Regions from separate parts of the Mus musculus genome. Here regions 1, 3, 4, 5 and 6 are each reported to be linked to region 2. The links are microRNA targets in miRTarBase. Many come from high-throughput screens and were not tested one by one. Region 2 holds a microRNA gene; each other region holds the end of a gene's coding sequence.

Region 1 (5,073 bases), not on the chromosome of region 2:
CACCAGCCCCGGCAGACATATTTCTAAGAGAGCCTGATTAGATGCTTCAGTGATTGAAGGCACTTAGCACTATTGCAGAGAACCCTGTTTCAGTTCTCAGCACCTACAAAGTTGGTCTGACTCCAGTTCCCAGGTATCTGCCAGCACCCTCTTTTGGCCTCCTTGGGCATTAAGCACACATATGGATGCTAGAAGTATAGAACTCATTTCAGCAAGTTGTCTTCTAATTGGTTGTTTGTGTGTGTGTGTGTGTGTGTTTGTGTGTGTGTGTTTTCAGACAGGGACAATGGCAACCTCTTCCTTGGCATGAGTATGCACACACAAAATATAAAAAACAAATATAACTTCTTTTTAAAAAAGGAAGAAGAGCTGGGCGTGGTAGTACACCTTATAATCCTAGCATTTGGGAAGTGGAGGCAGGGGAGTTGGGAGTTCAAGGGCAGCTTGAACTACCTGAGACTTTTTTGTTTGTTTTGTTTTTGAGATAGGGTTTCTTTGTATGGATCTGGCTCTCCTAGAACTTGCTGTGTAGTCCAGGCTGGCTTTGAACTCAGATCTCTCTACCTTTGCCTCCCCAGTGCTGGGATTAAAGGCATGGACCACCACCACCACCAGCACCCGGTGAAACTTTATCAGAAAAAAAAAAAAGCAATCAAACTGGTTAATGCTGCTCTGTTTATCTCATCGGAGGCTACAGATTAACTACAGACTAACTAGTTTCTCTTATTTTCAGATAGTGTTTTGGGTGGGCTGCCATGAAGAATGGTAATTAAGAGAAACTGACTTTCCCTGGGAGTGACTGTCCTTTTCTGCCCTCAGCTGCCGTTCGGCTCTACTGGAACAACACTTATTCTGGAAATTTGAAGGCGTTGTGGTGGCTGTAGCTTTAGTCTTCGCCTGCCTTGTCATCGTTCGTCAGCGACAACTGGACAGAAAGGCTCTTGAAAAAGTCAGGAAGCAAATTGAGTCCATATAGCTGAATTTCTACTGTATTATGGTGGCTCTTTACGGACTGTATCTCAGATGGAGAAAGTTCAGCGGCTAATTTGCACTCGTAAACCTGTGGTAGTAGCATTTTCAATGACTTCCTCTTCTAGACCATTAATGAGCACAATAAAAAGTAAAATAGAGCTGGACATGACACAGACTTGGAATCCCAGCACTTGAGAGAATGAGGCAGGAGGATCCTTGGTAACTTTGTAGGCCGACTAGGCTGAACTACATAGTAAGCCTGTCTTTAAAGAGAAAACGGAAATAATAAAGGAGTAAAGAGTTTCCTTTAGTGTAATCATTTGGCTTGGGGAAGACTGGGGGAGGTGGGAGATGCCTTAAATCCTAGCACTTGGGCAGCAGAGAGAGGCAGATCTCTGTGAGTTCAAGACCAGCTTGGACGACATATGGAGCTCCAGGCCAGCAAGGAATACTTAGTAAGACCCTGTCTCAAAAAATTAATTAAAAGCCGGGCGGTGGTAGCACACATCTTTAATCCCAGCACTCGGGAGGCAGAGGCAGGCGGATTTCTGAGTTGGAGGCTACCCTGATCTACAAAGTGAGTTCCAGGACAGCCAGGGCTATACAGAGAAACCCTGTCTCGAAAAAAAAAAAACAACAAAAAAGAAAAAATATTAATTAAATTAAAAAGGGTTGGTGAGTTGGCTCAGTGCTAAAGATCACTTGCTGGGGGCTGGAGAGATGACTACGCTGACTGCTCTTCCAGAGGTCCTGAGTTCAGTTCTCAGCAACCACATGGTGGCTCACAACCATCTGTAATAGGGTCTGATGCTCTCTTCTGGTGTGTCTGAAGACAGTTATAGTGTACTCATATGCATAAAACAAATCTTTAAAAAAAAAGAAAAAAAAGCACTTGCTGCTCTTACCCAGGATAAGGGTTTGGTTCCCAGCTCCCAAGCCCTGTGGCTCACAGTCACTTATAATCCTAGCTTCAGGAGCTGTGATACCCTGTGGCTTCTATGGGCTTGCAGTAAGTGACACAGATAAACTCATGCAGAAACAGACATACATACAAGGAAAAACGAGTACTTCCCTTCTTGGATATAGTCTTTCCATGTATCTAAGCCATTTGTCTGTACGGTGTGTGTGTGTCTGGTACACATGGAGTCCAGAAGAGGATACCAAATCCTGAGCTGCTGCATGGTGTAGGAGCTTGAATATGAGTCCTCTGAAAGAGGAATAAATGTTCTTAACCACTTCTTCAGCCACCAAATGAATAAACCTTTTTAAAAAATAGTACTTTAATATGGGGAAAGAAGACCTGGGTACAGTGAGAGAAGAGAAACGATTTCGAGAGTTAACTATTACCTCTCCCTTTTATTGCTTTAAAATTGTTTTAGATTTATTTATCTTTTGTGTGTGCAAATGGTTTACCTGCATGCACATGGACCATTTGCATGTCTGGCTGGTGCCGTAAGAACAGGACATTGGGTCTTTGGGAACTGAAGTTATAGATGGCTAAGAGTCACCCAGAAAGTGCTATGAACCAGATCCAGGTCTTCTGTGTAACAACAAATGTTCTTAGCTACTGAGCCAGTCTGCCATCTTTTATATAAAGTTTCTGGGCTGGCAGAGGGCTCAGGTACTAAAGATGCTTTGGTGCAGTGGCTAGAGAGATGGCTGCAGTTAAGACAACGTGCTACTTTCTCAGAGGACTGTACTTGGCTCACGGCTACGGCTACCAGCTCCAGGGGAATCCATTGCCCATATGTTATGGATTCACATAGAAACACATACACATAAATAAAAATGTTAAAAAAAAATTCTGTTGCATAGGCCTGATGACCTAAGTTTGATTCTTAGAATACGTGGTGAGAAGAAAGAACCCAAAAGTTGCCCTTGGACCTTCACATGTATATTATACTATATATATATTACACACCCTACTTATACACAATAATAAACACAATTTCCAAGCTGGATGTGGTACTATATACTTGTAGGCAAGTCAAGAGTTTGAGACCAGCTTAGTTTACATAGTGAAAAACTTGGGATAGAATTTGAGCTAGGAAGTTTATTTCCAAGTTAAAACTTGTTTCCCTTTGACCTTACCACAAAGAAGAAATGAAATCACAAATGTATGACAAGCATTTGAGGTGCCCTGCCACATGATAAAAGGTGATAGGGAAGCCTGTGTGGTGTCTTGTGTGATTGGCTTACATCTCATCTGTATGCACCATTCCCCTGATCTGTCCAGGGGGTCTCGCCTTCACTCGCATCTTCAGATGTGTCTTTGTTGAACCATTTGTAGTTGGGGCTTCAGGTAGCTCCTCCAGTTTGGACTTTAGCACTGGACTCTCCAGGTTTTCTGTTACGTTCTCGTGAGTCAAGATATTTCTGGAAATCACTGAGGAGAGAGGGTGATGGTAGACCATTTGCTTGGGTAGGAGACTGGCCCAGAACTCCTACTTGTTGACTGTTTTGGAGAATTGTTTCGTGGCTCATCCTTGGGGCTGCTGTACCCTTGCCTCTTACCTCCATGAAGCTGATAATCCTCGGGCCTAGCTTCTGATTGACCCTGAAAGGGGCTGAAACTGGGCAGGATGATGAGAGCCAGTGAAAAAAGAAGAATCTGAAAAGGAACAGGAAGGTACTTGGGCTTTGGGGACAACAGAGGATGAAGGCATAGGGAATAGAGGGTCATAGAGGTGTCACAGTTTGGAGAACAGGGCTGGGCAGGTGTTAGGTGGAAGTGTGGAGGGTGGCAGATGGGAAGTAAGGAACATGCTGATGGTACCAGAACACAGGTGCTGGTCTGGGCAGCTCTGCTGGAGGTCTGAGCAGTGAGCTTCTGTAACTGGCGGACCTGTTCCATCAAGAAGCTAGGAGAAGGAGGGAGAGTCAGCCTGAGAACGGCTTCCCTGTGACTGGCTCCTGCCCTCTCCTTCATCCAGACACTATCACTCACATGTTCTGCCTCTCCAGCTCCTGGACCTTTCTCTGTAGTTTCTGATTCTGTTCCGAACAGGCCGCCACTCTAGGGAGTGTGGAGAAGCAGAGCAGGCTTGGCAGATGGCCCCTTAACATGCTTTGGTGAGAGAAAGGGGGCCCAGACACCACCCAAGCATACCTGCTCTCCAGCCCATCTAAGTATTCTTTCTTCCGCCGCCGGCTGTCCTGAGCCGACTGCTTGTTGCGGATTTTCCTCCTGATCTTCTTGAGTATTCTCTCCTCTGCCTGGAGGTTCAGGGTGTTCAGTGCTAGACCCTTAGCCTCCCACAACTCCCCAGATGTTCCCTGGGATCCAGGCTCTCTACAGGTTGAGTGGAGCCTCTGTGATGGGGACACCCTTTTGGGGACCATTGTTACCTTGGTGAGGGGCAGGTGAGAGGGCAGAGTAATCCCTTCTTGTGCCAGCAGTTGCTTTTCTTCATCTGTCAGGAACAGATGATGTTGGCAGGACGGCTGGGAGGAGTGGCAGAAGAAGAGTGGGGTCAAGGTCACCTGCTTCCAAAGCTCAAACTGCCCTTCTGCCCCAACCTGCTTTCAGAAGAGGGCTTTCTGTCTGCACCGAGTGATAAGGTAAGGTCAGAGCAGAAAGGTCATTCAGGAAGGTTCCGTGGCAAGCCAAAGGGCCTCCCTGAAGCTGAGGAGGTAGAGTGAAGGTTTTTGTCCACACAGAATCTTGGCATTACATTACAGGCAAGCTAGAGAAGGCCTCTTCTGGTATCTTGGGACAATCAGAAGAGAACTTTGAATTCACTATGGTGAGCTTGGTTGGGTTTCCTTATATCAGGTAAACAATTTAGCCATTAACTTCTGTTCAGTAAACCATGTGGTAGCCTGACAAGGGCAGGTGCGTGCAGTTTATCATTCCTGGGCTCTAAGCTCCACCTGTTAGGTCGAGCCACTCACCCTCAGACAAGGACTTTCCTTCCATCCTTCCATTTATTTTTATTTTATGTGCATTGGCATTTTGCCTGCATATATGTCTGTGTGATGGTGTCAGATCCCCTGGAACTGGAGTTACAGGCAGGTGTGAGCTGCCATGTGGGAGCTGGAAATGGAGCCAGGATCCTCATGCTCGCAACCACTGAGCCACCATCTCTCCAGCCCCAAGAA
Region 2 (5,073 bases):
CTCTATAGTTTCAGTTGCAGAGGATAGAAAGCCTTTTGACCTCCCTGAACACTAGGCATGTACATGGTGGTACAGACAGGCAAACAAAGCACCCATACACAAAAAATTACATTTAAAATTAAGTGGACAAAATGAGTTCTTGAAGATCGAAAACCAGCTCTGTCTGCTTTAAAAATATTTTCTTTCAGCCTTTGAGCTGGGGGGTAAAGATTCCCTGTCTCATATGGATATAACTAGGGGTAAAGCTCAGACGCCAGCTGCAAAACTCTGTTTTTCCCTTCGCTGACAGAACTGAGTAGAACACCTCAGGTTCTGGGTGCTAGGTGCTGTGTATCTTTGGACATATTAGCTCAGAAAGGTCACTTAATGAACTCTTACCCATAAAGTGGTTCACATTCTCAATGACATCAATGACATCAGAGCATTTCTTCACTTACAAAAAGTGCCAGGGCCTCCTCAGCCCAGCCAGAGGTTTCCTGATGACGATGCTCTGAAGTTGGACAGAAAGAGGGAAGGCCACGGTTTTTAAGTAAATGTCCCATCCTGGAGGAGCAATGAACAAATTTCTCGCGAAATACGAAGCATCCCCTAGGGGTTCATTCAACCGCTGGCTTGGCCAAAGGACACTTTGCCGGGATCTCAGAGCCCTCGCTAATTTGGTGAGCTGTGTAGTAAGCATGGACGCGCCCTCATGAGTATCACTATAATAACTACAGAGAAATGAGCTGGGAAAAGGCGGACAGAGCTCCTTTTCAAGAGTTATGAATGAGGAGAAAGTGTTTGTAGAACTCATTGTTAAAACGGTGGAGCCAAAACTCGGGCGCCTGGCCAATCGGAGCCTGGAGGCTATTTTGAAATCTTTCCAGCAGCAGCCAATAGGTGCGCAGGAGGCAAAGCTTGGTGTAGGCGCAAGCCAATGAGGCTGGCGCTGTGCCTTGAGGCCCGGGGCTCGGCCCTCGGGACTGTCAGATGGTTAAAGATGGAGCCGAGGGAGAGAGGGCGCCACGAGGTGCTGAGGTGCGGGGTTGTCCAGATATGACGGGGCCGCCGCCTACCTGGATCTTCCACTAAGCTTCACCTTGTCCCCCTGGTGAGAACAAGAGGTGTCTGTCCACGTGAGTAACTGGTCTGGGATAGGGTGTGCGGTGAGGCCAGGGAAACTCCAGATGCCAGGAAGCCCTAGTTCTGCTCTTCTAGGCAGGAGAATCTGTTAGGATAGAGTGCAGAACTCATACTGGGGGAATGGACCAAGGACCGGATCTCGGACTCCAAGGGCCTCACGTGCAAGGAGTGAAGTATCCCTCTTATTCTAGTTCTGGTCTGAAACAGGGTACAAGTAGTCCCACTGTGCTCCCCTCTGCAACTGAGCGCAGGCCTCTCTCCTTTGTGTTTGAGCCCCCTCGGGTGCTCGCCCTTCAGCTCCCTCCTTGGAGTACCTCACCAGAATCAGAAGCCTGTTAGAGAAAGTTTGAGTTCCCTGAAGTTAATAAGTCCAGAGGACTGCATCCGGGCTGGAATCCCGTCTGTTCTCCGAGCTTGGATAGATGTCCCACCCACCCATGGTGGTTGAATTTCCAGCGCAGCCCTGCGTGCAGCGAGGGCGATGGATTTCCTGCTGGCTGCGGGTGCTCTGACTAGGTTGCACTACTGTGCTGTGAGAAGCAGTGCAATGGTATTGTCAAAGCATCTGGGACCAGCCTCGAAGACCACCTCACCTACTGTTCCTTCTTTCTTCCCTTTCCAGGCCTGGCCCCTCAGGCCTGCAGGCCGTACCCTCCCCCTGCTCATTTTACTCTCTTCTCCATGGAAACTTGAGATTGTAGCCAGGCCCGTGTCTCTGGGGTCAGAGGGCATCCTTTGCTCAGGCCGAGGCTCCGCCCAGGTGGGCATGCGTTCTAGGTCTAAGATCCCACTCCAGCCACCCCAACTCCCCATGCCCCGCCCCACCCCGTGAGACTGACAGGCTTGTTGGACACTCTTTCCCTGTTGCACTACTGTGGGCCTCTGGGAAGCAGTGCAATGATGAAAGGGCATCTGTCGGGCCAGCTAAGGAGCCTGAGGAACAAAAGGGTCAGTGCTTGGATCATAGTCTTAGATAGAGATAGCTATCTCTAGCTAAAAGGATAAGGTGGATGCTGAGAACCATATTCCAAGGCTGGAACCAGTACAAAGGGGAGACCCCAGATTTGGAAAGGCTCCAGTCTCAAGCTCTTAGCCCCCTCCCCCCAGGTTAAGATAGGGGAGTCTGCTGCAGGGGGCGCGGCGGTGAGTGAATGGTAGGTAGCTCATGCCTTAAATCTCAGCACTTGGAAGGCAAAGGCAGGTGGATCACCCAGATCTAGGGCATCCTGGTCTACATAGTGAGTTTTAGGACAGCCAGGGATACACAGAGAAACCGTGTTTTGAGAAAAACCAAATTAACTAATTAATTAATTAATCAATTAAAAAAGAAAGAAAGATTGGTGAGCCCATGTCTGGAGGCTGATGCAGGAAGATTGTCTCAGTTTTGAAGCTGTCTGAAGAATCAAAACAAAACTAGGAACTCCAGGACCTTGTGGAGAGAAACAGATGTTCACCTCTTTGTATGGAAAAGGTTTGTATACCTTGCTTAGCCTTGACTGCCTCGGGAAGAACTGGACTCAGCCTTTCCTGAGATAACCACACCTTGGGTTCACACCTTGAGGCTCAGAAGAAGTGTCCTGCCTGGGCCAGATGGATGGACTTGGAACAAGAAGCCTGCAGAGTAGGCCTGCCAGCCATGTCTGCTTGCTCCTTTACAAAGAGGGTATGTGCTGAGTAGGAGAGGCATGGAGGTGTCTGGTATGTCTGCTTTCCAGACAGGGCTGGAGCTCATTTTTATTTATTTATTTATTTATTTATTTATTTAATTTATATGAGTGCACTGTAGCTGTCTTCAGACACACCAGAAGAGGCCATCGGATCCCATTACAGATGGTTGTGAGCCACCATGTGGTTGCTGGGATTTGAACTCAGGACCCCTGGAAGAACAGTGCTCTTAACCACTGAGCCATCTCTCCAGCCCTGGAGCTGAATTTTTAAGGATGCCCGATCCTTAGTGTGCTTGCAGAGTTACCTTTAGCGGCAAGACCCAATGGCCCATGCCTTTGAATGCAGCACAGGGAAGGCATGGGTAGGTAGATCTCTGTGAGTTCAAGGACAACCTGGTCTACCCTGCACGTTCCAGAAGAGCTATATTTACATGGTAAAGCCCTGTTTCAATGCACCCACCCCTCTTTTACAAACAAACAAAAACCTAGTAGGAGGTGGTCAGGCCTGCCTCCTTGAGAGGAGGCCCAGGCTTCCAGATTCCCTTTTGGGAATAGATTGAGAAAATCAGCCTTAATAGTACTCTAGCTCCACAAGTCCTGGCACCCATGGGGACTGCTCTGATACATAATGAGTCTCAGGCCTGACGGAGGGCTTTGATGGGGAAGAAGCAACCACACTCCTTTGTGGCTAGGGTAGACGTGTGTCAGCAGCTGTTGCCACAGCAGATCCATCCTGAGGTGCTAGGAATCCTAACATGTGCATATCTTACATATCTTACATGTGCATATCTTACATATCTTACATGTACATATCAGGGGAGGTCTGGGCCGCAAAGGATTTAGGTTGGCTAAGTCACTTCTGTGAATTTGAATTGGCTCAGGGTGTAGAACACTTGCCTATTATGCACAAGGTCCTGGGTTTAATCCCTAGCACTCCAGAGGGGAGGGGAGGGAGAGGAAGGTAGCGGAGGTAGGTGTGAGGAGAGGCCACAGGAGGACATCAAGACATAGAGCAAGTAAGTGGTCATGGGTGCAGGCATGCAGTCTCTAATCCCATTGTTTGGGAGGCAGAGTTCCAGCCTGGTCTACAGTGGATTCCAATATAGCTAGAATTACATAGGAGACCTTGTCTCAAAAAACAAGCAAAAGAAGTGGTCAGGACATGATCTGGAGAGGGATGTGTGTAATGCTTCCGAGTAGGTAGGAAACTCAGAGGGTGCAAAAGCCAGAGCTAAAGCCCTTTGGGGGGCAGAAGGAAGTCCTTTTGGATATTATCTTAGTGAACTGGAAAGTAGATTCAATTACCAGGGCGGTCTGGTAGGGCAGAGTATGGAGGGAACTGCAAACTGGGAGAGGGCTGGGTGCTTTGAAACGGAAAGGACCACGGCTCAGAAGGAGGTCAAAATCCAGGAGCTCAAAATCCAGAAGGTACCTGGGTGCCTTTGGCGGTCACAGTGAGGGGTGGAGCAGTGGGGGCGGGGTGGGGTGGGGAGCACACCAATGCGCATGCCTAGAGAAGTGAGCATTGTTACGCGTACTGGTGCTGGACCCGCCCCCTGTCTCTGTGGGCATTCATTCCCTGGGGTAGACCGGGAGGGGGGTGGGTAGTCTGGGGATCTGGAGTCTGCACTGCGGCTGTAGGGAGAGAGTGGGTACGCCCTGCAGTCCTCATCCCGATGGTTTCCCATCACCTTTCTCAGTCCTGGCCCTCGGGAGGGTCTCCCTGCCCCAGGAGCCCTGCCCCGACGGTCGTTCTACCCACAGGTAGCATCGACCCACCACCAGCAGTCCATTTCCAATGGAAGTCCTGGATGAGTTCGACAACGAATTCCCCCTGAGTGTGACCTTCTGCCAGCTCATTTCCGAGGATGACTTCGAGAGGCAAGCAGCGACCTACACAGAGCGTGCACTGCGACGACTCTTCCGCACCTTGGATCGCAACCCAGCACTGGCGGAGAGAGTCGTGCGGAAGGGCAAGCAGACTGAGTTCGAGCAGCGCGGGCTCCTCTGCAGCCTCTGGGTGCGAGCTGCGGGCAGCGGGCAGCAGAAGTCCACTAACTCCCTAAACTAGGGAGGATCTTTGAGGGTGGGACTTTGGCTGAGGGATGAATGGGGAGGTTATCTATTGGCTGGGGCAGCCAAAGGGGTCTTTCCGAAGCCAAGAATACCAAGCCTGAGGAAGGAGCAGGCAAGCGACTCTTTTCTGGCTTCCCGCCTTTTCTCCTCCGTATTGCAGGCGAAGTTTGTCTGCGCTGTGCAGGGGGATCTAAACCAGTGCAATGAC
Region 3 (5,073 bases), not on the chromosome of region 2:
GAGAGCTAAAGTCTGATGCTAAAGTCTGATTTACAAGCACCAGGCAGAGACAGAGAGAGAGAGAGAGAGAGAGAGAGAGAGAGAGAGAGAGAGAGAGAGAGAGAGCTAACTGGGAATGGCTAGGCTTTTAGAACATCCCAGAGCAACACATCCTTCAACAAGACACACTTCCTAGTCCTTCCCATACTGTTCCATCAACTGTGGACCAAATATTCAAACATAAGATCCTATTGGGGGGCACTTCCATTCAAACCACCACAAGCTACATCACCCAAAAGCCCAAACCAGCACAAGTGACTGTTCACAAAAGCTACCACTCTGGAGCTCTCTACACAACTTGTAGGCATCTGGATATGTCTGAGAGGACTCTGGGTAGCACAGCTGGTCAGTCTCCTTCCCAGCAGTTCTTTACTGCTTCTATAACTCTGGGAAGAGCCCTCATGAAACTCCCAAGTCATGGTTTATCCAGACATGGACATAAGTCCTTTTCCCTTCCTCCTGAAAAGAATGTTTCAATCAGAGGAAACTGCTAAGCAGCTGTGGACTCCAGACTTATTCTAGAAACTTACCCCTCTCTCTCCCTTGGTGTCTACAGGAACTGCATCGGGCAGCAGTTTGCCATGCTGGAGCTAAAGGTGGCCATTGCCTTGATTCTGCTCCACTTTCAAGTAGCTCCAGACCTCACCAGGCCTCCTGCCTTCTCCAGCCACACTGTCCTCAGACCCAAGCATGGAATCTATTTGCACCTGAAGAAACTCCTTGAGTGTTAGATACTAGGAGAAATGGCGAAATTTATGTTTGTTGTTAAGTTAAATTTACAGCCCATGGTCCAGGCAAGTGGAAAAGAATCTAAGATTGATAGAAGCCTTGGAGGACTGTGGGTTGGAGCATTTCTACAGCTGCACATTACCCAAAGTTATTTTCAGGTAACACATGTGACCCTGATAAGTATAACTTGGAGAGATTGTCAAATTATTTTCTAATGGTTATTACCAATCTTATCTGAAGTGGGAATTTCTGAGTTCACTGGAGACTCAGTTGTGCCATGTGATGTTCTTCTGGAAGCTGTCTTATGAGAGGATGTTTTGCTGAAGAAGACACATGAGAGGTTGTTTTGCTGAAGCAGACACATGAGAGGATGTTTTGCTGAAGAAGACACATGAGAGGTTGTTTTGCTGAAGAAGACACATGAGAGGATGTTTTGCTGAAGAAGACACATGAGAGGTTGTTTTGCTGAAGAAGACACATAAGAGGTTGTTTTGCTGAAGAAGACACATGGGAGGATGTTTTGCTGAAGCAGACACATGGTGTTCTTCTGGAAGCTGCCTGGTGAAAGGGCATGGGGTGTTTCGCTGAAAGTGATGCTTAAGAGGATACATGATGTTTGAAAAGAGTGTACGTATAACCCAACAGACAGTGAGCAACTCTGGCATTGGTTCACCTTGCTTTCCTCACTGATCTTTATTTGTCAGGACTCCGTAGAGAGAAACTCAGCCAAGAGCTTCAAGAGGTGTTCCAGCTGCTTCTTGCTGCTTCAGGGGACTCCATTCAGTTTCTTCTGGATCAAGCTGCTGCTTGTTCATGTTTGGTGTTTTGCTAGTGGACTGGTATGCTAACGATTAAGATTGGAATCACCTCAAAGAACTACTTCTTTTTTTATGATTTTTTTTGTTAGGTATTTTCCTCATTTACATTTCCAATGCTATACCAAAAGTCCCCCATACCCTACCACCCACTCCCACTTTTTGGCCCTGGCGTTCCCCTGTACTGGGGCATATAAAATTTGCAAGTCCAATGGGCCTCTCTTTCCAGTGATGGCCAACTAAGCCATCTTCTGATACATATGCAGCTAGAGTCAAGAGCTCAGGGGTACTGGTTAGTTCATGATGTTGTTCTACCTATAGGGTTGCAGATCCCTTTAGCTCCTTGGGTATTTTCTCTAGCTTCTCCATCGGGGGCCCTGTGATCCATCCAATAGCTGACTGTGAGCATCCACTTCTGTGTTTGCTAGGCCCCAGCATAGTCTCACAAGAGACAGCTATATCAGGGTCCTTTCAGCAAAATCTTGCTACTGTGTGCAATGGTGTCAGCGTTTGGAAGCTGATTATGGGATGGATCCCCAGATATGGCAGTCTCTAGATGGTCCATCCTTTCGTCACAGCTCCAAACATTGTCTCTGTAACTCCTTTCCATGGGTGTTTTGTTCCCAATTCTAAGAAGGGGAAAAGTGTCCACACTTTGGTCTTCGTTCTTCTTGAGTTTCATGCCTTTAGCAAATTGTATCTTATATCTTGAGTATCCTAAGTTTCTGGGCTAATATCCACTTATCAGTGAGTACATATTTTGTGAGTTCCTTTGTGGTGGGGTTACCTCACTCAGGATGATGCCCTCCAGGTCCATCCAACTAGGTCCATGTCCTCCTTGTCCTATTAACCATCTTCCTTCCCCACCTTTGGTCTGTGGGGTATAAAGGAGGTTGAAGCATTAAGAATCTTTATTAGGGGCTGGTGAGATGGCTCAGTGGGTAAGAGCACCCGACTGCTCTTCCGAAGGTCCAGAGTTCAAATCCCAGCAACCACATGGTGGCTCACAACCACCCGAAATGAGATCTGATGCCCTCTTCTGGTGTGTCTGACGACAGCTACAGTGTACTTGCATATAATAAATAAATAAATCTTTAAAAAAAAAAAAAGAAAGAAAGGCTACACTCGGGGCTACACTGGGATCTTGAACACCTATGGTTGTCAATGACTGGTTAATAAAGACTTTCTGTTGGCTTAAAAAAAAAACAAAAAAAAAGAATCTTTATTAAAGTAGGCTTAATGAAAAATCTAAGCCTACACCTAGTGATGATTTTCTGTTTGTTTTTTATTGTTTTTGGAATTATACAAATAACAGGATTTGTATTGGATGAAAAACATTTCCAGCAATAGGAGGTGTTCATAAAATCCCACCTCACCAGGGCTACTGCCCTGACAGAGTCTACTGCTTTCTCTAAAAACAGAATTGTATGCATTCTTCCTGACTCTTTCCTGCATAAATAATGTGTGTGTGCACTCTTAGACATGTGATCATATTTGTATTCTTCTTGTTTTTCTCACATAATTAAAAAATTGCCCTAATCCACCTTATTATAAGGTTGAGATATGTGAGTGTTCTATGATTTGTTTCAAAATATTTCTATTACTGGATAAATTAAATTAGTTATAATTTTTAAATGTATTTATTGACTGTGTGTGTGTGTGTGTGTGTGTGTGTGTGTGTGTGTCTGTGTGTGTGTGTGTGTATGTGTGAGCACATGCATGCATGTGTACTCAGGTCCAGGTGTGTATTCACGTGTATGTAGAAGCATATAGAGGCCAGAGGCAAACCTCGAGTATCATTTTTCAGGTTTCATCTGCCATGCTTTTTCAGACAGGATCTCTTACTAGCCCAAAGCTCACCCAGTAGGTTTGGCTAGATGGCTACTGAGCCCCATGATCTGCCTGTCTTTACCGCCCCAGCTCTGGGATTACAAGCATGTACCACTCCCCACCCCCATGCCTCACTATTTCCACATGGGATCTGGGGATTAAACCCAAGTCCTCAGGTTTGCAAAGCAAGATTTTACCTATTGAGCTACCTACCTAGTCCCTATCTTTATGGAGACAACACTATCTTTATTTTTGTATGATGTTTTTTCTTAGTTATCCATATATTCTTCATATATTATGGATAATAAGTCTTGCTTATAACTTTTCTTTGTAATATTTCAGATTCTTTTACTCTTATTAACTTGTAGGTGTGGTTCTTTTACATATGAAATGCTTTGATTTTAATGATGTCAGATTTGTATACACACTTTTCTTTATGGTTTCTTGGTTTTGAATCTTGAATAAGAATGTCTAAATTTGGGGCTGGTGAGATGGCTCATTGGGTAAGAGCACCCGACTGCTCTTCCGAAGGTCCGAAGTTCAAATCCCAGCAACCACATGGTGGCTCACAACCACCCGTAATGAGATCTGATGCCCTCTTCTGGTGTGTCTGAAGACAGCTACAGTGTACTTACATATAATAAATAAATAAAATCTTTAAAAAAAAAAAAAAAAAAAAAAAGAATGTCTAAATTTGCCGAGCATGGTGGCGCACACCTTTAATCTCAGGAAGCAGAGGTAGGCGGATTTCTGAGTTCGAGGCCAGCCTGGTCTACAAAGTGAGTTCCAGGACAGCCAGGGCTATACAGAGAAACCCTGTCTCGAAAAACAAAACAAAACGAAAAGAATGTCTAAACTTACACTACTACAAAAATATTCTACTTACATTTCTGTTGCTAACTACTCTTATGAAGCCTAAATGGGAACTAAATTCATCACTCATTGGAACCTAATCAGAAATTAGATTGGTTTTTAAATATAGAGGAAGCCCTTTGAGGAGTTTTCAACTAGAGATAAAACTAGAGTGAACTGCACTTTTAAAAGGTTTTCTGGATGTAGTGATGCATACTTATAACCCCATCACTTGAAAGGCTAAAGCAAAAGAATCATAAGTTCAAGACCAGCCTGGACTACAGAGAAAAGGGGGTGTGGATGTGTGTCAAAAGAAAGAGACTGTGTGTGTGTGTGTGTGTGTGTGTGTGTGTGTGTGTGTGTGTGTGTGTGTGTGTGTGTAGGGAGAGAAAAGAGAGGGAGAGGCAGGGTTACATCTGTTGCATGGATAATGAACAAATTATTGATAGGATAGAGTGGGGCAGAAGGAGAAACCAGAAGAAATGTATGTACACAATCAGAATGCTAGGTCACAGATAAGAATAGATGCTGCATGCTTAGCTGTTGGAAAAGATACCATGGTCATGAAGGTGGTTTTCCTAGGACACGGCTCATCCATTGCTGACTCCTGAGATTTGACTTGTAGTTGAGAATTGTGTTCATTTTCTCCCCTGAATTAAAAGGAAAAAAAAGTAAAAAGTAGATGCTGCTTGCCAAGAGTGGTGGCAGTGGACTGTAGGAGAAATGAACATGGAAGTGACTTTGATGGCATTTAAAAGAGTAAAGAGAACTTGTGGATTGGCTGGATGTGTGAATAAAGAGGCAGAAT
Region 4 (5,073 bases), not on the chromosome of region 2:
AACAGACACGAACAGAACCTTCCTCTCACTGGAGGGTCAAACAAAACGATACTGTCAGGGAGAGCTCGTGGAACAGCCTGTGCCTAGTGTGGTTTCTGCCCTGCATCCCATTCCTGGTACAGCTGGGGAGGGAGGGGTTGTACCGGGGTTGGGTACGATTCATGTGGACCAGCTTTCTCCTAAGGGCTTGCTTAGGTCTCCAGCCAAACCCACTATTTTCTGGAGTGGTGAGGGTAGAGTGCCTCAGTTTACCAGTTCAGAGGCATGGGCTTCAGGATGGGAGGGGTTGTGAAGACTGTTCCTCACGCCAGCTTTTTTCTAACCCTGTGTTCTCATCCCTTCAGGAAATGCCACAGATATCAACGACAACAGGTACTCAGACTTGGGGTCTCTGGGCGGGACCCAAAAAAATCGAATAACACTTCTCTAAGAGGACTTCCCTGGAGCTCTGGGGAGGAGGGAAGAAATGAGGCAGGAGATCCAGGCACTCCCATGGGTACTTTCTCCGTACCTCAGGGAACGTTCCGACCTTGGGCAAGGCCTGAGGTTCCTTAGGAAGCCTGCATCCTTCCTGCCCTCACCCGCCCTTCAGTATCTCAGGCACGCTGTCAGAGTGCTGGCCGCAGTGGGGGCAGAGCTGTTGACAGGCTGTTTCTTCCTCCAGGAGTGACCTGCCGTGTGGCTATGAGGCTGAGGACCAGGCCAAGCTTTTCCCTCTCCACCAAGAGACAGCAGCCAGCTAACTCCCAACCCTGGCCACATATCTGCACTTTCAGGTAGCTGCAGGCCACTTCCCTCCCTAGCCCCAGCCTCCTCCTGTCTGGCCATGGCTGCTTCTCCTGTTCATGTGTATGTGTATATGTTTGTATGTGTCTGTATGTGTGTGTTGTGTGTGCATGAGTGTACCCACATCAGGAGGCCAAGGTTAGTAGGTGTGGGTGTCTTCATTTGTGTGTGTGTGTGTGTGCGCGCTCACATCCACAGGCCAGCCTTGGTGTGGGTGTCTTCCTCTCTCACTTTCCATCTTACTTTTTGAGGTCTCTCACAGAACCTGGAGCTTGCTGTTTTGGGGTAGACTGGCTGGTCAGTCACCTCCCCACCCTCCCTCTGTCCCACCCCACCCCCCATATCTGCCCATTTCTGTCCCCTGGGGTACTGGGGATCCAAACATAGTCCTCATGTCTGTTCAGTAAGCACTTAGTGACTGAGCCAAAATCTTCCAACTCCTGCTTGGCCCTGTATGGCTGCACGAGGCAGAGGCAGGGAGATCATGAGTTCAAAGGAGTCCTGGATTCATGAGACCCTGTATCAAAACCAAACAGAAACATTTGCTAAAAAGCCCAAATCTCATTCATAGCCAACCCTGACCTCCCATGGCCCCAAGCCTTCCCTTAGGTGCTGGTGGTAATCACAGTACTCATTTCTACCACTAGGGGTCACTGTCATACATTAAAATTTTTGTTAAAGGCAAGGGCTGCTGTCCATCGGTCTACTACCTTGTGCCTTTACCCTAAAATAGCCTTAAAATAGCCTTAGATACACAGAGATGTCTAAGCCACCTCGTGTAAAGGTGATGTCTGCACTACTCCTGGATTGACATATGCTGCCAAAGACTCTCGGTGTCTCTAGCTAGAAACAACAGTACGGTCAGTAAAAATGGAAACCAGCTGCCTCCCCATCCACTAACCCTCCAGCTTCAACACCTCCCCAATCACACCAAGTCCCCGATCACACCAGGACCTGGTGTCACCGGGCATATTCCATGTTTGTTTTAGACCCCAGATGGTCAGAGAGACCTATGTTATGGTACACTTTATAGCTCCTTTGCTGAATCAAGAGAAAATGTCCAGTCTTGCTGAGATGCACGAGGCCGCGTCCCTCCCAGGCTTTCCCCGGACAGTGGCTCAGGCAGAAAAGCAGGAGAGAAAGAGATGTGTTAAGGGGGAGAGGATGCTGGCAAGACTTGGGGTGGAGAAACATGGATTGGACTGGCTGGCAGTGGGGGGTGGGGCTGGCTTCGTGGTGTTCTATGTTGTCTGTTCCTACACAGAGGCCAGGCCGGGCTGGCTCCTCACACCCTCTTTCTCTTTCTTCCCCAGTTTCTAAGAGGGACTGAGGCCTCTTCTCTCAGCATGCTGCAAAACCTGTGGTCTCTGACACTAACTCCCTCCCCAGCCCGTGATGTTGGACTGTTTGATGTCTCCTCCTATTCCGTATCTCTTTGTACTCTGTATCTATCTATCAGAAGCTGCTGCTGTCTCTCCTCTCTGTCCTCCCCTCTAAGTATCTGATGATGTATTTAGCAGTTTTTAAGCATAGTCTCCCTTCCTCGTTGGGCGTTAGGGAGGAGGGAATATTTCTTCTTTCTTCCATAGACTCGTTTCTTACACCGAGTGATGTCAGTCACTGAGTAGAGGTCACAAAAGATAAAGGAAAAATGGGAGCGGGGAGGCTGCCCTTCTTCTCTCTCACAAACACACGTGTACACGCACACACGCATGCACACACAGTGTACATACAAAGCCTTAAGCAGAGGAATGTCTTAGCATCTACGAAAAGAGAGAAATAGACCCCTTCCCTCTTTACACAGAACACAGAGGAGGCCCCAGTGGAAGGTTGCGACACCGCTCTCTCCCTCACACATACGCATCCCTCACCGGAGTCAGCACACTGGAGGCGGTCTCCTCTGCCCTGTGAGGTCTGCCTTGTGCTCCCTTCCCTGGTTGGAGAGCATGGACTACTCAAGGGACTGTTTCCCTTTCTGGCCCAAGCCTCTTGTACTTTCCACTCCAGATATCACAACCAGAACTTAGAGTTGGTTTAAAACATCTTCTGAAAATTCGAGAAGGCGGACTGCTGAGAAACCGCTGCTCACCTGTCTGTGCCAATAGTTATACGCAGGTGGAGTCAGAATGGTTGGCTCCCTGGCTCTGGGGAGTGAGCAGGCTGAGGGACTACTGTGTGCTACTCTGTCACAGAACCCTCAGGTTGAAGCTCCAAGCTCGTTCTTTCTCCCATATTGGGCTGTGTGTGCTTCCCACTCCTGACTTTGGTTTGGGGCTTCCGGTTTGTTGGCATAATCGCCGTCTCTAGATGCCGTCCCTTCAGAATGGAATCTGGCCTGTTCCCAGTATACCTTCCTCCCCCAAACACAGTTCCTTCTGTAATCTCCATCTGGTCCCAAGTGCACTTTAAAGACAGGGGTGGGGGAGCAGGTTGGAGCATGGTGGCAGGCGGCCTCCCTGACACAGGAAAAAGCTCTGCTGTTGATCCCAGCACTGCAAAAGCAAAAAAGCAGAAGCTGGGTGTAGTGGCTCACACTTTCGAATGTTGCTCTCAGGAAGCCGAGGTAGGAAAATTGCTAAATTTGAGGCTATCCTGGACTACACAGTTAGATCCAGGAGAGCTTGTACTATGACGGGAGGAAATCCTATCTCAGAATGAAGGAAAGGGAAGAAGGAAGAGGAAGGAAGGAAGGAAGGAAAAGTAAGGAAAGGGAGGAAGGAAGGAAAGAAAGGAAGGAAGGGAGGAAAGGAAGGAAGTGGGGACAGGACAGTTTTTTTCCGAACTGGCAGGGGCTAAGAGCATGAAATTAATGCTTTCCCCACTGCCATCTCAGCTCAGGTCCCCTCCTGCCCAGCACTGAAGAGGACGGACGTTGCTTTAGTTCAGATGGTCCTGTCCTCCCATCTGCTAAGGTATTTTTCCAGACAGCTGCAGGGATGAAGGTCAGTACTCAGCCTAAGCCAAGAAAAACAGTTGAGTATCCAGATACCCAGTCCATCCCAGGATGGGAGACCAGGGCTCTCCAACAGAGGGCAGCCTGCTGTCCAGACCCTGCTAGGCCTGGGAGGAAAACTCCCTGTGGGTGACAGCTGGCAACTATGAGCTGTAGTGGCTGTGACTCCCTCAAGGGACCGTTTCTGCTCTGTAGGGAGTGATTGAGATGAAGACAGTATCAGACTGGCATGGGAGAACTCCCAAGTGACAATTTTCAAACACTTCAGAATAAATCTGATGACTAAGCAGAACCTAGGGCTTTGACCATGGCTTAGTGGTACCATGCGAAGACACTTAGTGTGACAAGTCTGAGGGTTCAGTCTATCTCTGGAACCGCAAACAACACGAAACAACCAAAATGGTAAAGTAATTCAGAGCGAGGAACGTTTGTTATAATTTCTTTCTTTTCATACCCCCTCACAGTGGAAAATGCTTCATTCATTGGAGGGTCCTGAGATAGCCCTAAGAGCTTAGAACTCACTCATTTGCCAGAGGGGTCCAGTCTGCTCCCCCCCCCCACACACACACACACTCTCTAAAACCACAACTCAAAAGAAAGGTCAGGAGGTGCAGACAAATCGCACACCTCAGACACAGTGGGCAAGGAAGGAAAAGGGTGTTCCCTGTGGCTCATGCTGGCAGGATGAGGATGCTTGGGATTCTGAGGGAGTTTGCATGATCTTGTCACCAAACGATCCTTTTCAAAATACAAGTGAGGAGATGTGGAGGCGTGCAGCAGAGCAGATGAGGAGGGGGGCGGCAGTGGCCAGCCTTCCCTCCTCGGCAAGATGTAAGGGACACGGCCATTTGCTATGCTAAAGAAACAGCCCTTCACCGGAAGGTTCTCACCACATCCTCCCCCTTACCTTCACTACATCCCTTTCAGAGAGCCAGGCCACCACCAGGGCCCCTGGCCCGCCCACTTACATCTGCCAAAGTGAAATGTTGCATGCCGGCGTGGAAGACAAAACCAAACCGCACAAATCCCAGTGTGTATTTACTTGGTGGACACAAATATCTTTAAAATAAAATAACTTCGATGACGACTTGCTGTTGCTTCTTATTCATTTTTCAAAGGGCTTTTGTTTGCCTTTTGTTGATACAAGTTTTGCCTGCACATATTTACATGTACCATGTATGTGCCTGGTGCCCTTAGGAGGCTGGAATAGGGCACTAAATCCTGAGGAACTGGAGGTACCAATGGTCGTAAGCAGGGATGTGGGCAGTGAAACTGAGCCCTGGTCCTCTATGAGAGAAAAGAGAAGGGGTGCTCCTAAGCACAGAACCAGCGCA
Region 5 (5,073 bases), not on the chromosome of region 2:
GCTGGCCATGGTGCTGCATGATTTTAGTCTCAACACTTGGGAACGGAGGCAGGCAGATCTCTGAGTTTAAGGCTAGCCTGGCCTACAGATGGAGTTCCGGGACTGCCAGAGCTCCATAATAGAGACCCTGTCAACAAAGGGCCAGTTTCTGGCTAGGGAGAGAGCTCAATAACATGGCTGTGCAGCCATTGGGCCTTGAGTTAAGTTCCTCATACCCACGTGTGGTATACACTTGCCATTCCAGCATAGGGAAGGCAAATCCCTGGGACTTGGCCAGCCTAGTCTACTTGGCAAGCCCCAGGCCACACATACAAGGTCCTCTGGTCTCCACATATCCGTGCAAACACACACATGAACATGCACAATGAAGAGCCTGTCTCACTGCATCAGCCCAAGGCTATGAGGAACAGTTGGTAACTTTGAAATGTTTGCTCAGACTTCTCTTGTCAGCCCTGTCACTACTCCCTGTCACCAGAATTTCCAGCATCAAGTCCTGTCTCTCACTTTTGTTTTGCTTTGTTTGTTTGAGACAGGGTTTCTCTGTGTAGCCCTGGCTGTCCTGGAACTCACTCTGTAGACCAGGCTGGCCTGTGACTCAGAGATCCGCCTGCCTCCATTTAAAGGCCTGCACCACCACCTAGAGTCCTATCACTCTGAACAATGAGCAAGACAGGAAAGGACCTGAGCTACTGCGTCCTACAGGTGAAACTGTTTTTTACACAACAAATGAACCATTGTGAGAAACCTGTTTACCTCTTCTGTGTGCATTCCAACAGGTAATCTGAGTTTTTTTCACACATCTTTGTGTGTGTGTGAAGTATAATTTCCATGTAAAATTACTGGAAATAATTAAAGGTAAGAATTAAGCTCAGTTAGGTAAAACTACCTGCCTTGACCTGGAGTTTTATCACTGTTACACAGAGGCATTTTTACACAAGGCCAACATATTTCCTGCGTACTGCACATAAGCACTCGTTTACTTCGCATCTGAACAAACACTATTTAAGCCTTTAATATTTTAAAATTAATTATTTATTTACATTTCAAATGTTGCCCCCCTCCCAGCACCCCCTCTTAGAATTCTTCATCCTATTCCCCCTCCCCTTTGTTCTGAGAGGGTGTTCCTCCATCCCCCAAGCCTTTAAAATTTAATACATTCACATTAAAATTTGAATATGACAATAGGCTTATGGTTATGAGCTGTTTTTCATATCAACAAGATAATTAATTCCATGACATCTTTTTTCAGTGGTACAGAATTTTGCAGATTCTTTGTTTTTTTGTTTTGGTTTTTTTGAGACAGGGTTTCTCTGTATAGCCCTGGCTGTCCTGGAACTCACTCTGTAGACCAGGCTGACCTCGAACTCAGAAATCCGCCTGTCTCTGCCTATGCAGATTCTTTTTAAATATAAGACTACTATATACAATTGTGTAGTGTAGTGGGCTTACATTACAAAGAAGTACCTATAAATAAGCAAAGAATATAGAGTTATGTTTTTCCTATATCCACACGTGACTTAATGCATCTCCTTTATTATTGTTTTGGTTTTCTTTTTACCAAGACAGGGTTTCTCTGTGTAACTGGCTATTCTGTAACTCATTCTGTAGACCAGGCTGACTTTGAACTCAGAGATCCATCTGCCTCTGCCTCCTGAGGGCTGGGGTTAAAGGTGTGCACCACCATTGCCTGGCTGCATTTGCGTTTATTTTTATTATTTTTTGGTAGAGCATTTGCTTTTATTTATTATTGGTATATATATTATTATTTGTGTGCACAAACATTTGGAGGTCAGAGGACAATCCTCAGGAGCCATCTACCCTTCTGTTTTCTTGTTTGTTAATAGTTAGCTCTGAAGGATGCATAGACAGAGTGAGAGAGAGAGCAGCTTGCAGGAGTGAGCTCTCCCTCCACCTTCACATGGGCTCTAGACTTGCCAGCCAGGGCCTTTATCCATTGAGCTATCTTTTTTTTTTTTCCATTTGTTTTCAGATAAGGTCTCTGCTGGCCTGAAGCTTACCAAGTCAGCTGGGCTGGCAGTAAGAACTGAGTCTCCTCCCCAGTGCTGGGACTACAAGCACATGCTAGCACTCCTGCTTCTGTATTTAAGTCCCGAGGATCAAACTGAGGTCCTTACGTTTGCATAGCGAGTACTTTACACTGAGCTGTTTCCCTAACCCCTACACTTACTTTTAGAATTCTATTTGCTCCTGATTGTGAATTTAAAAATAAAGATTACTATTTTAGAGACTCAAAATCTCGATGTCCTAATGTCGCTCATTTTTAATGATTTCCAAGTGGGCACCAAGTGCATTGGGAAAAGATTCAAGAAAAGTACCACAGAGCTGCTGACTATCCAGCCGTCAGATAGCTATAAAAATGCTACTTACATTCTTTTCTATACTGCCTATAATCCAAGCTATTAAACTTTAAAGCCATATGAAAGCATTTATGAAGATACTGAATTGTATTTCTCATTAAAGGGAAAGGAAGGGCGTGGTGACTCCTATCCCTAGACTGACTTATGGAGAAGCAAAGGCAGAAAGCCATATCATTAGTCTCTTTGAAAGTTAGAACTCAGCTCCTAGCAGGGTTTACAAGCAGTTAAGAATGCCTCCGTTTCACAGACTCATGCTCCTCTGAGCATCCCAAAGGCAGTGAGAACATAAGCCTTCTGATTTTCTAAACCAAATTCATTACCAAATGGATTTATTAAAGAGCTATGCAGAACAGCTACGCGTGTGGCTGCAGCTGGCACCCATGGGATGAGAAATGACGACTCAAGGGCTCTTGCAATTGACTCAGGGCAAAACGATCTGAGGCTTATGACAGACAGAAAGATCTAAAATCAATGAGCAATTGTGTTGAGAGGAATTTGTTTACATTTTTTAATTTTTAAAATATTGTTTATTTTCTTATTTATTGAGACAGGGACTCACTCTGTAATTCTGGCTGGCCTGAAGCTTACTATATAACTCAGTAAATCAGACTGGCCCTGAACTCAGGGAGTTCCAACTGCCTACGTCTTGTGGAAGGTTACATTCAAAGACATGAATCACCACATGTGCATTCTTATATTTGCTTGTAAAGGATATTTCCTATATTAACTGTTTTATTTCCCTTTTTCTTAATACTGCTTAAGAATTCCAGCATTTTTATCTAGAAATAAGGAAGAAAAAAATACAGGCTCCTGGCAAATAAATACCTATTGTGTAAATTGCCACAAGAGCTTTTTAGTCAGAGAGAATGTTTCATCTTGAAGCTAGTATACCCTTTCTTCTCTCTCTTCCTCTTTCTTTTCTTTCTTACTGGTTTTAGATTATTTTATGTGTATGTTTTGTCTGCATGTATATCTATACACTACATGTGTGCCTGACGCTTGAGGAGGTCAGAACAGGGTGTCAAATCCCCTGAAATTGAGCCACCAGGTAGGTGCCGGCTCCTCTCCAAGAGCAACAATGCTCTTAACTGCTGAGCTGCCTCTCCAGCCCACCATATCTTCATGTATTTATTTATTGAGTATGTAGCTCTGTATGGGTCAGAGGCAACTTGTGGAGTTGGTTCTCTCCTACCAAGTGAGTTTGGGGATTGAACATAGGTTGTCAGACTTGGTGGCAGGTTTCTTTACCTTCTGAGCCACCTTGCCAGCCCACAAGTTTCTATACATAAAGCTCATTTTTAAGTGCTTATACACTCATAATTCGTGTGTATATTCGCTTCAAAAGGTGGCTTCGTCATTCCTGCCCATTGGTTTGTATCAGGCACTCAGAGGATGAACAGGCTGTCAATGAAGCGAGCTGATGGTGCAGTAAGACCAGGAAGGTGATGACTGCCCTGTAGTCCAAGCTGGACATAAACTTACTCAGTAGCTCAGGCTGGCCTGGAACCTCACAACCTCCTGCCTCAACCTCCTGAGTAGCTGGGATTATAGGCATGTGTCATCACATCTTGCTAGGATCATGTACTTTACAAACTTCTACATTGTACTGAGAAAGGCATACTATGTTTCTTTTGGAGGAGGAAATCCTGCTAAACACTACGGTAAACTCCCAAGAAGCCAAAACTCATCTCCAGAGCTCTTTAGGCAGCACGTGCTTAGGATTTATGAGACAGCAAAATTCCCCAGCTGTAACACAGCGTCTGCCTAGGACCTGGTGAAGACATTCCTCTGATTGTTGTGTTTAATTAAATTAAACAAAAAAAGCACAAAAGGAAGAAGCTGGGGTGTTTCCAGTCATCTTAGGGCAGTGCAATCCTATAAACAATGGTAATTACAGCCCCCACATGCAGCCTCAATACACTCCATGAAACAGATCCTCAACACGGGACTGGAACTTCAGACAAGCGCTTCTCTCATGAATTCTTCAAGGACAGCCACCACACTTTTGGCCTCGGGCATTTCTTCATGTTCCACTTTAACAATCTTCAAAAGGATATCTCCACTGCCACAGTTCTTAAGGAACATGTAACATTTAAACAGAGCGTAATGATTCATCTCTGCCTGTCGGATAAATCTCTTCAAATTGTTTGTGTCTTGTATAGCCTAGAAAAAGATTGCCCTGTAAGTATGTTCAGTGACATGATGATGATGCTTGAAAAATACCCCGTCTCTAGCTGAACACTCATCGGACACTGATAATGTCGGCTTTTGTTTTGTCTCTTGACACAGGGTCTCACTATGTAGCTCTGGCTGGTCTTGAACTCTGTCTCCTGAGTGCTGGGATTAAAGTTATGTACTACCCACCCTGCTAATGTTGAACTTTAAAAAAAATACCCATTATTCCTATTGCTAAAATGCTTGCCTTTAGTGTAAAAGAATCTCACTTTAAAAAGACTTTTAAAAAAAAAAATAGCTCCTGGTACTGGAGAGATGGCTCAGCAGTTAAGAACACTGACTGCTCTTCCAGAGGTCCTGAGTCCAGTCCAATTCCCAGCAACCACATGGGGGCTCATAACCATCTGTAATGGGATCTGATGCCCTCTTCTGGTATGTCTGAAGACAGCTACAGTGTACTCATATACATTAAATAAATAAATAAATAATACAAAAAAAGCTCTTAAGGTACCAGCCCTCA
Region 6 (5,073 bases), not on the chromosome of region 2:
TCTTGTGTCTGGTTAACAGCTAAAACTAACCATGTGTTTGTAGCCCAAGCTGGTCTAGAACTGTGATTTTCTTGCCTCAGTTTCCCAAGTGGTAATGTTAGAGCTGTGCCCCAATATACCTAGGTCTATTAAAGTTGGGTTCTATTCTTTTAAAATGTACTGAAGTTGGATGGGGAAGAAAATTTGAAAATTTGGAAGATGTTAGTTTTGTTAACTACATGGTATCTTCTGGAGTAGTAACACTGAGTCTTCCTTGTTTTTCAGCTTGCAGTTTGACCCAGCACCTCGTAGAGGCGAGCCACATGTCACTCGTCGTACCCCAGACTACTTCCTGTAATGAAAATGTAAACTTGTACAGTATTGCCATGAACCGTATATTGACCTAATGGAAATGGGAAGAGCAACAGTAACTCCAAAGTGTCAGAAAATAGTTAACATTCAAAAACTTGTTTTCACACGGACCAAAAGATGTGCCATATAAAATACAAAGCCTCTTGTCATCAACAGCCGTGACCACTTTAGAATGAACCAGTTCATTGCATGCTGACGCGACATTGTTGGTCAAGAATCCAGTTTCTGGCATAGCGCTATTTGTAGTTACTTTTGCTTTCTTGAGAGACTGCAGATATAGGATTAAACATTAACACCCGTGAGTCCAGTTGACTTCACTTAGCTGTAGCTTACTCAGCATGACTGTAGATGAGGATAGCAAACAATCATTGGAGCTTAATGAACATTTTTAAATAAGTACCAAGGCCTCCCCTCTTGTTGTGTTTCTTTCAGGGATACCATTAATTTAATTGTATGATTTGTCTGCACTCAGTTTCTCCCCTTCTCAAATCTCAGCCCCGCGTTGTTCTTTGTTACTGTCAGAAAACCTGGTGAGTTGTTTTGAACAGAACTGTTTCCCTCCTGTAAGATGATGTTACTGCACAAGTCACCGCAGTGTTTTCATAATAAACTTGAGAACTGAGAAAGTCAGGTTTGAATTGTATCAGTGGGCACGACTGGTGCTGTTTATTAACAAGATAAATCTATTGATCAATTTCAGAATTTGTAGAATCCCAGGTAAAGAAAAATAAAGATCAAGGCCACTGTGTAACCTCTCTGGCAACTCCTTGGTGTTCTTCAGAAGAACTTGGGGACCTGTTTGTCTGACATACCGCAGTTTGTCTTGTTGCTGGCCTGCGCTTGTGAAAGGAAATCTGTGCTGTTTTAGTGGGACTTGGTTGTTAAACCATAGAACTTGAGAGTTATGTTTTTAGGATTTTACTTAAAATGGCATGTTTTCAGGTAGAACTTAACAAACTAAATGATGTGTCTAATTAGTGTAGTTTCTGGTTACAAATATATTGCTATGTATATTTCATGGACTCTTTAAAATGATTGACAGAACGGTAAGTTCTTAACCAACATTTGTATATTTCTTGTCAAGTCATGTGATCTTAGAGTTAGTTAAACTTGTCTGGATAAGGTGTTAGAACCTTAGCTTGTGTTCCTTACCTGGTAAAGCAGTGAAGCCGAGTAGAAGCAATGCTGATGTGGGCTGATGTTTGCGCCAGGTCCGAGAATGGTGCCTGAGTGCCAAGCTCAGCGAGTAATGGGTTTCCCTTCTATTCTTTGACTTGGCTTAAAACCGAAGACAGTTCTTCTTGTGGGGACTGAATATTTGCTATTTTAAGCTATCTGGGCAAACATGAGGATGCTTGATCATTACTGTGTGAGTGTAGTAAATAAATGTTTCCTTGCTTTGTACTGTGTTGAATTTGGAACCAACAGTGAAGTTACAGTATTGCCCTGTATAAAAAAAAAAAAAAAAAAAAAAAAAACAAGCCAGTTTGTGAGTTAATTTTCTAAATCAAAAAAAACCCTAGGCCAGGTACTGGTGGCGCACACCTTTAATCCCAGCACTTGGGAGGCAGAGGCAGGCGCATTTCTGAGTTTGAGGCCAGCCTGGTCTACAGAGTGAGTTCCAGGACAGCCAGGGCTACACAGAGAAACCCTGTCTCAAAAAACCTTAGTTTTTCTAGGTGTCTTCTTTTTATTCTGAGTTCGAAGAAACACATTCTCCAGCCTGTTATTTGTGCTACTTCGTCTTTTCTTCCTGGCCAAACAAGTAACATCTATATACAGCACTGTTTTGTTTTGTTAGGGTGGGTTGTGGTAAGGGCAGGGCAACAGAGTCTTTCTGTTGCCCTGAGTGGCTGGGATCTTGCTATATAGGCCAAGCTGTCCTAGAACTCATGGATGATACTGCCTATATATGCCACCATGCCTGACTTAATGTACAGCACTTCTGATCCAACACTTGAGGGAGGTAGACACCAAGCAGCTGCACTGGGGATCCTGACGATAAAGAGGGCTCTAATGGAGTCTTTCCTATAGTTGACACATGTCATGTACATACAGATTCTCAGAATGGGGCTTGTGTCAAAGAGTGAGTGGTCTTAAAAGCATTCAGAGGCAATTACTAGGCTTCTCTTGAAATTTGAAAATGTTAATACTTTAACCTGATGTAAAATTAGTGAAAATGTGTGAGTTTAATAATTTCTTCAAAAAAATCAAATGATAGTTGGAAGGGAATCACTCAAATGAGAGAATTTTAATGGGCACTATAATGAGATTGCCATAATTTTTTAAGTCTTTTGATTAAGAGCAAAGAATTATCAAAAATGGGTGTTGTCAAGAAGTCTGGACAGGTGCTTAGCAGTCAATCTTGTAGCCCCCAGCTGCCTATAACTTCGACTCCAGAGGCCCTGATACTCTCTTCTGGTCTCCACGGCATCAGACACACATGTGGTGTACATGCCTGCAGGCAAACCACTCAAACAAAAAATAAAGATCAGTCTTTTTAAAAGACGTGTTAATGGCTACAAATGTAGTTCATTGGTAGAGCACTTGCCTAGCACATGTACTGTGCCCTGGGTTCCATCTCTAAAAGTTGTATATAATGACACATGTGTCACCCAGCATTGTGGAGGCAGATAGTGGATCTCGGTGCCTAAGAGTGAGTATTCAACAGGGAAGTGTACTTTGGATATGGTAAGGTGACTCAGCTGGTAAAGGCATAGTCACTTAGCAGCCACCCTGAAGACTCAAGCTCAGTCCATGGGATCTACGTGGTGGAAGGAGAAAACCAACTCCTGCAAGTTGTCCTCTGGCCTCCATGCACAAATGGTGATGTATGCACACACACAGATGTTTCAAAAAAGATAATTTAGGGGCTGGCGAGTGGAGCCAGAGTTAAGAACACACACTGCTCTTCAAGAGGACCCACATCCACCTCTGGTCTCCTTGGACATCAGTATTCATGTGCACATAAATTATTATTTTTTTATTAAAAGGTTGCTTTGAAACAATTTATAAAGCTTACTGTTGGGTTTGAGTACTTGAAGAAGATATGTATAATGGTTTTAGTAAAACAAAAACAATGTACTATCTAAGGTTTCCAGGTGATGTTTTGAGATTTGTACATTGTGTCAAGTCGGGCTATGTATGCCTCAAGCATTTATCATAATGGTCCTTGTAGCTATTTGAAATGAAACAAAAGTGTGGTGGTGTGGTTGCCACCTGCCTGTGTAATGGCACATCTGAGCCTCTTGAAATGTTCAGTGACCATTGGGAGACGGTTTGCCTTTCTTCATTACAAATGCACAGTGTCTCCCTTTCTTGACTTACTGTTTTGTTTATGTGTGTGGTGCTAACAGAGGCCTCTAGGTCCTCTGGAGCTTCAGAGTTGTGAGCTGCTGGTGTGAGTGCTTAAAGACCAAATCCAACCTCTGGAAGAGCCGCAGTTAATTCTGTGGTATTCAATCTTGATGCCCACATATTTTACTTTGAATTATTAGGAGCATAGTATGTCTAGGGTTAAGAACACTGCTGGGTGGGGCATGGTGACTCACATCTATGATATCAGCACTTGGGAGGCAGAGGCAGGTAAATGGATCTCTGAGTTCCAGGCCAATCCAGGATACATGGTGAAGCAGTCTTTTATCTTTTTGAGACGGAGTCTCACAATGTAGCTCTGGCTGTCCTGAAACAATATAGACCAGGCTGGCCTTGAACTTCCTTCTGCCTCCCAGTTGCTGGAATTAAAGGTATATATTACCGTGCCCAGCATAATCCTGTCTTAAAAGTAAATAACCATTGTAACTACAGCTGGATTTTGTGGTACTGGTGGTATCTTCTGGGGTAACTGGCTTTTACTGTGTTCCTGGAAACAGCCAATTTTTTGTTTGTTTGTTTTTTGAGACAGGGTTTCTCTGTATAGCCCTGGCTGTCCTGGAGCTCACTTTGTAGACCAGGCTGGCCTCAAACTCAGAAATCCGCCTGTCTCTGCCTCCCGAGTGCTGGGATTGAAGGCGTGCACCACCACACCCAGCGTAACAGCCAATAATTTATAGGCTTAATTTTGAAGTGGATTTTATTCTCCTGACCTAAACCTTTTTTTTTTTCCCTATAATCTCATAATTCTTTGACTGCTTTTACATTTTATAGACTTAAATCTTTTGGGTTAATTTTTCCACAATTGTGTCTATGTTAAAAATAACCTCTGCAAGGTTGTAAATGTGTTTGACCATGCCCCTTGCCAGTCTCTATATGGTAGAACTGTAAAGATACCGTGTCATTGTGACATTTTCATACGTGTGTGTGGTATACTGTGATGCATCACCATTTTTCTCATTTCCATTCTGTACCTTGATTGTATGGATTGCTTTTGTTTTGAGACAGGATCATCTTTTGTAGCTTGGCTGATCTCTGTTCAAATCAGCCAAGCTACATAATGAGAGAAAACAAAACTTGAGAAAGAGAAAACTTGCCTCTGTCCAAGTGCTGGGATTAAAGGTGTGGGCCACCACCGTCCAGCAATCTTACTTGACAGAGTAGAACTTTTAAAGGGTTCGTTTTGCTTTCTTTCTTATTTCTGTCTTCTGGTTGAGCTTTACACGCCTTTGGGGTATATAGGTCAGTCACATGTTGGAGACTGTTCAAGGTGCAACCTTTTTAGGACGTACCTCGAAGTTGTCATGAAGTGTTGGGTTACGTTGAGGGATCTTGTACCTAGATCCCTCT

Evidence for each region. The annotated mature microRNA mmu-miR-301b-3p reads CAGUGCAAUGGUAUUGUCAAAGC and lies in region 2 at 1,663-1,685, shown strand. An mRNA with a match to its seed (bases 2 to 7 or 8) in the 3' UTR can be bound and repressed. Matches are read on the target gene's strand: a 7mer-m8 pairs with bases 2 to 8, a 7mer-A1 pairs with bases 2 to 7 and ends in A, and an 8mer does both.
Region 1: miRTarBase lists Jtb as a target of mmu-miR-301b-3p. Seed matches in the 3' UTR shown: 7mer-m8 at 1,047-1,053.
Region 3: the mRNA of Cyp4x1 is a reported target of mmu-miR-301b-3p. The part of its 3' UTR that is shown has no 7-base or 8-base seed match.
Region 4: miRTarBase lists Kif5a as a target of mmu-miR-301b-3p. The part of its 3' UTR that is shown has no 7-base or 8-base seed match.
Region 5: miRTarBase lists 5730455P16Rik as a target of mmu-miR-301b-3p. Seed matches in the 3' UTR shown: 7mer-m8 at 4,245-4,251.
Region 6: the mRNA of Ppp2ca is a reported target of mmu-miR-301b-3p. The part of its 3' UTR that is shown has no 7-base or 8-base seed match.

The regions. Positions count from the first base shown.
Region 1 is chr3:90,234,564-90,239,636 of GRCm38, forward strand. Jtb (jumping translocation breakpoint) reads left to right here. Exons shown (of 5, transcript NM_206924.2): 5 at 820-1,277. The coding sequence ends at 976. Creb3l4 (cAMP responsive element binding protein 3-like 4) reads right to left here. Exons shown (of 10, transcript NM_001307934.1): 5 at 4,321-4,416; 6 at 4,082-4,188; 7 at 3,920-3,988; 8 at 3,749-3,833; 9 at 3,487-3,583; 10 at 2,935-3,358. The coding sequence ends at 3,168. Among named protein-coding and RNA genes, the nearest start is that of Jtb, 5.5 kb to the left of the region's middle.
Region 2 is chr16:17,121,032-17,126,104 of GRCm38, reverse strand. Mir301b (microRNA 301b) reads left to right here and starts at 1,609; the gene lies at 1,609-1,705. It overlaps 2610318N02Rik (RIKEN cDNA 2610318N02 gene), which reads left to right and starts at 903. Exons shown (of 7, transcript NM_001358255.1): 1 at 903-1,115; 2 at 4,554-4,809; 3 at 5,026-5,073. The coding sequence starts at 4,588. Mir130b (microRNA 130b) reads left to right here and starts at 1,963; the gene lies at 1,963-2,044.
Region 3 is chr4:115,104,379-115,109,451 of GRCm38, reverse strand. Cyp4x1 (cytochrome P450, family 4, subfamily x, polypeptide 1) reads left to right here. Exons shown (of 12, transcript NM_001003947.2): 12 at 596-3,129. The coding sequence ends at 770. Among named protein-coding and RNA genes, the nearest start is that of Pdzk1ip1, 18 kb to the right of the region's middle.
Region 4 is chr10:127,225,448-127,230,520 of GRCm38, reverse strand. Kif5a (kinesin family member 5A) reads left to right here. Exons shown (of 29, transcript NM_001039000.4): 27 at 345-372; 28 at 665-776; 29 at 2,100-4,826. The coding sequence ends at 743. Among named protein-coding and RNA genes, the nearest start is that of Pip4k2c, 16 kb to the right of the region's middle.
Region 5 is chr11:80,359,478-80,364,550 of GRCm38, forward strand. It overlaps 5730455P16Rik (RIKEN cDNA 5730455P16 gene), which reads right to left. Exons shown (of 10, transcript NM_027472.3): 10 at 1,015-4,541. The coding sequence ends at 4,335. Among named protein-coding and RNA genes, the nearest start is that of 5730455P16Rik, 16 kb to the right of the region's middle.
Region 6 is chr11:52,121,638-52,126,710 of GRCm38, forward strand. It overlaps Ppp2ca (protein phosphatase 2 (formerly 2A), catalytic subunit, alpha isoform), which reads left to right. Exons shown (of 7, transcript NM_019411.4): 7 at 265-1,112. The coding sequence ends at 337. Among named protein-coding and RNA genes, the nearest start is that of Mir3061, 2.6 kb to the right of the region's middle.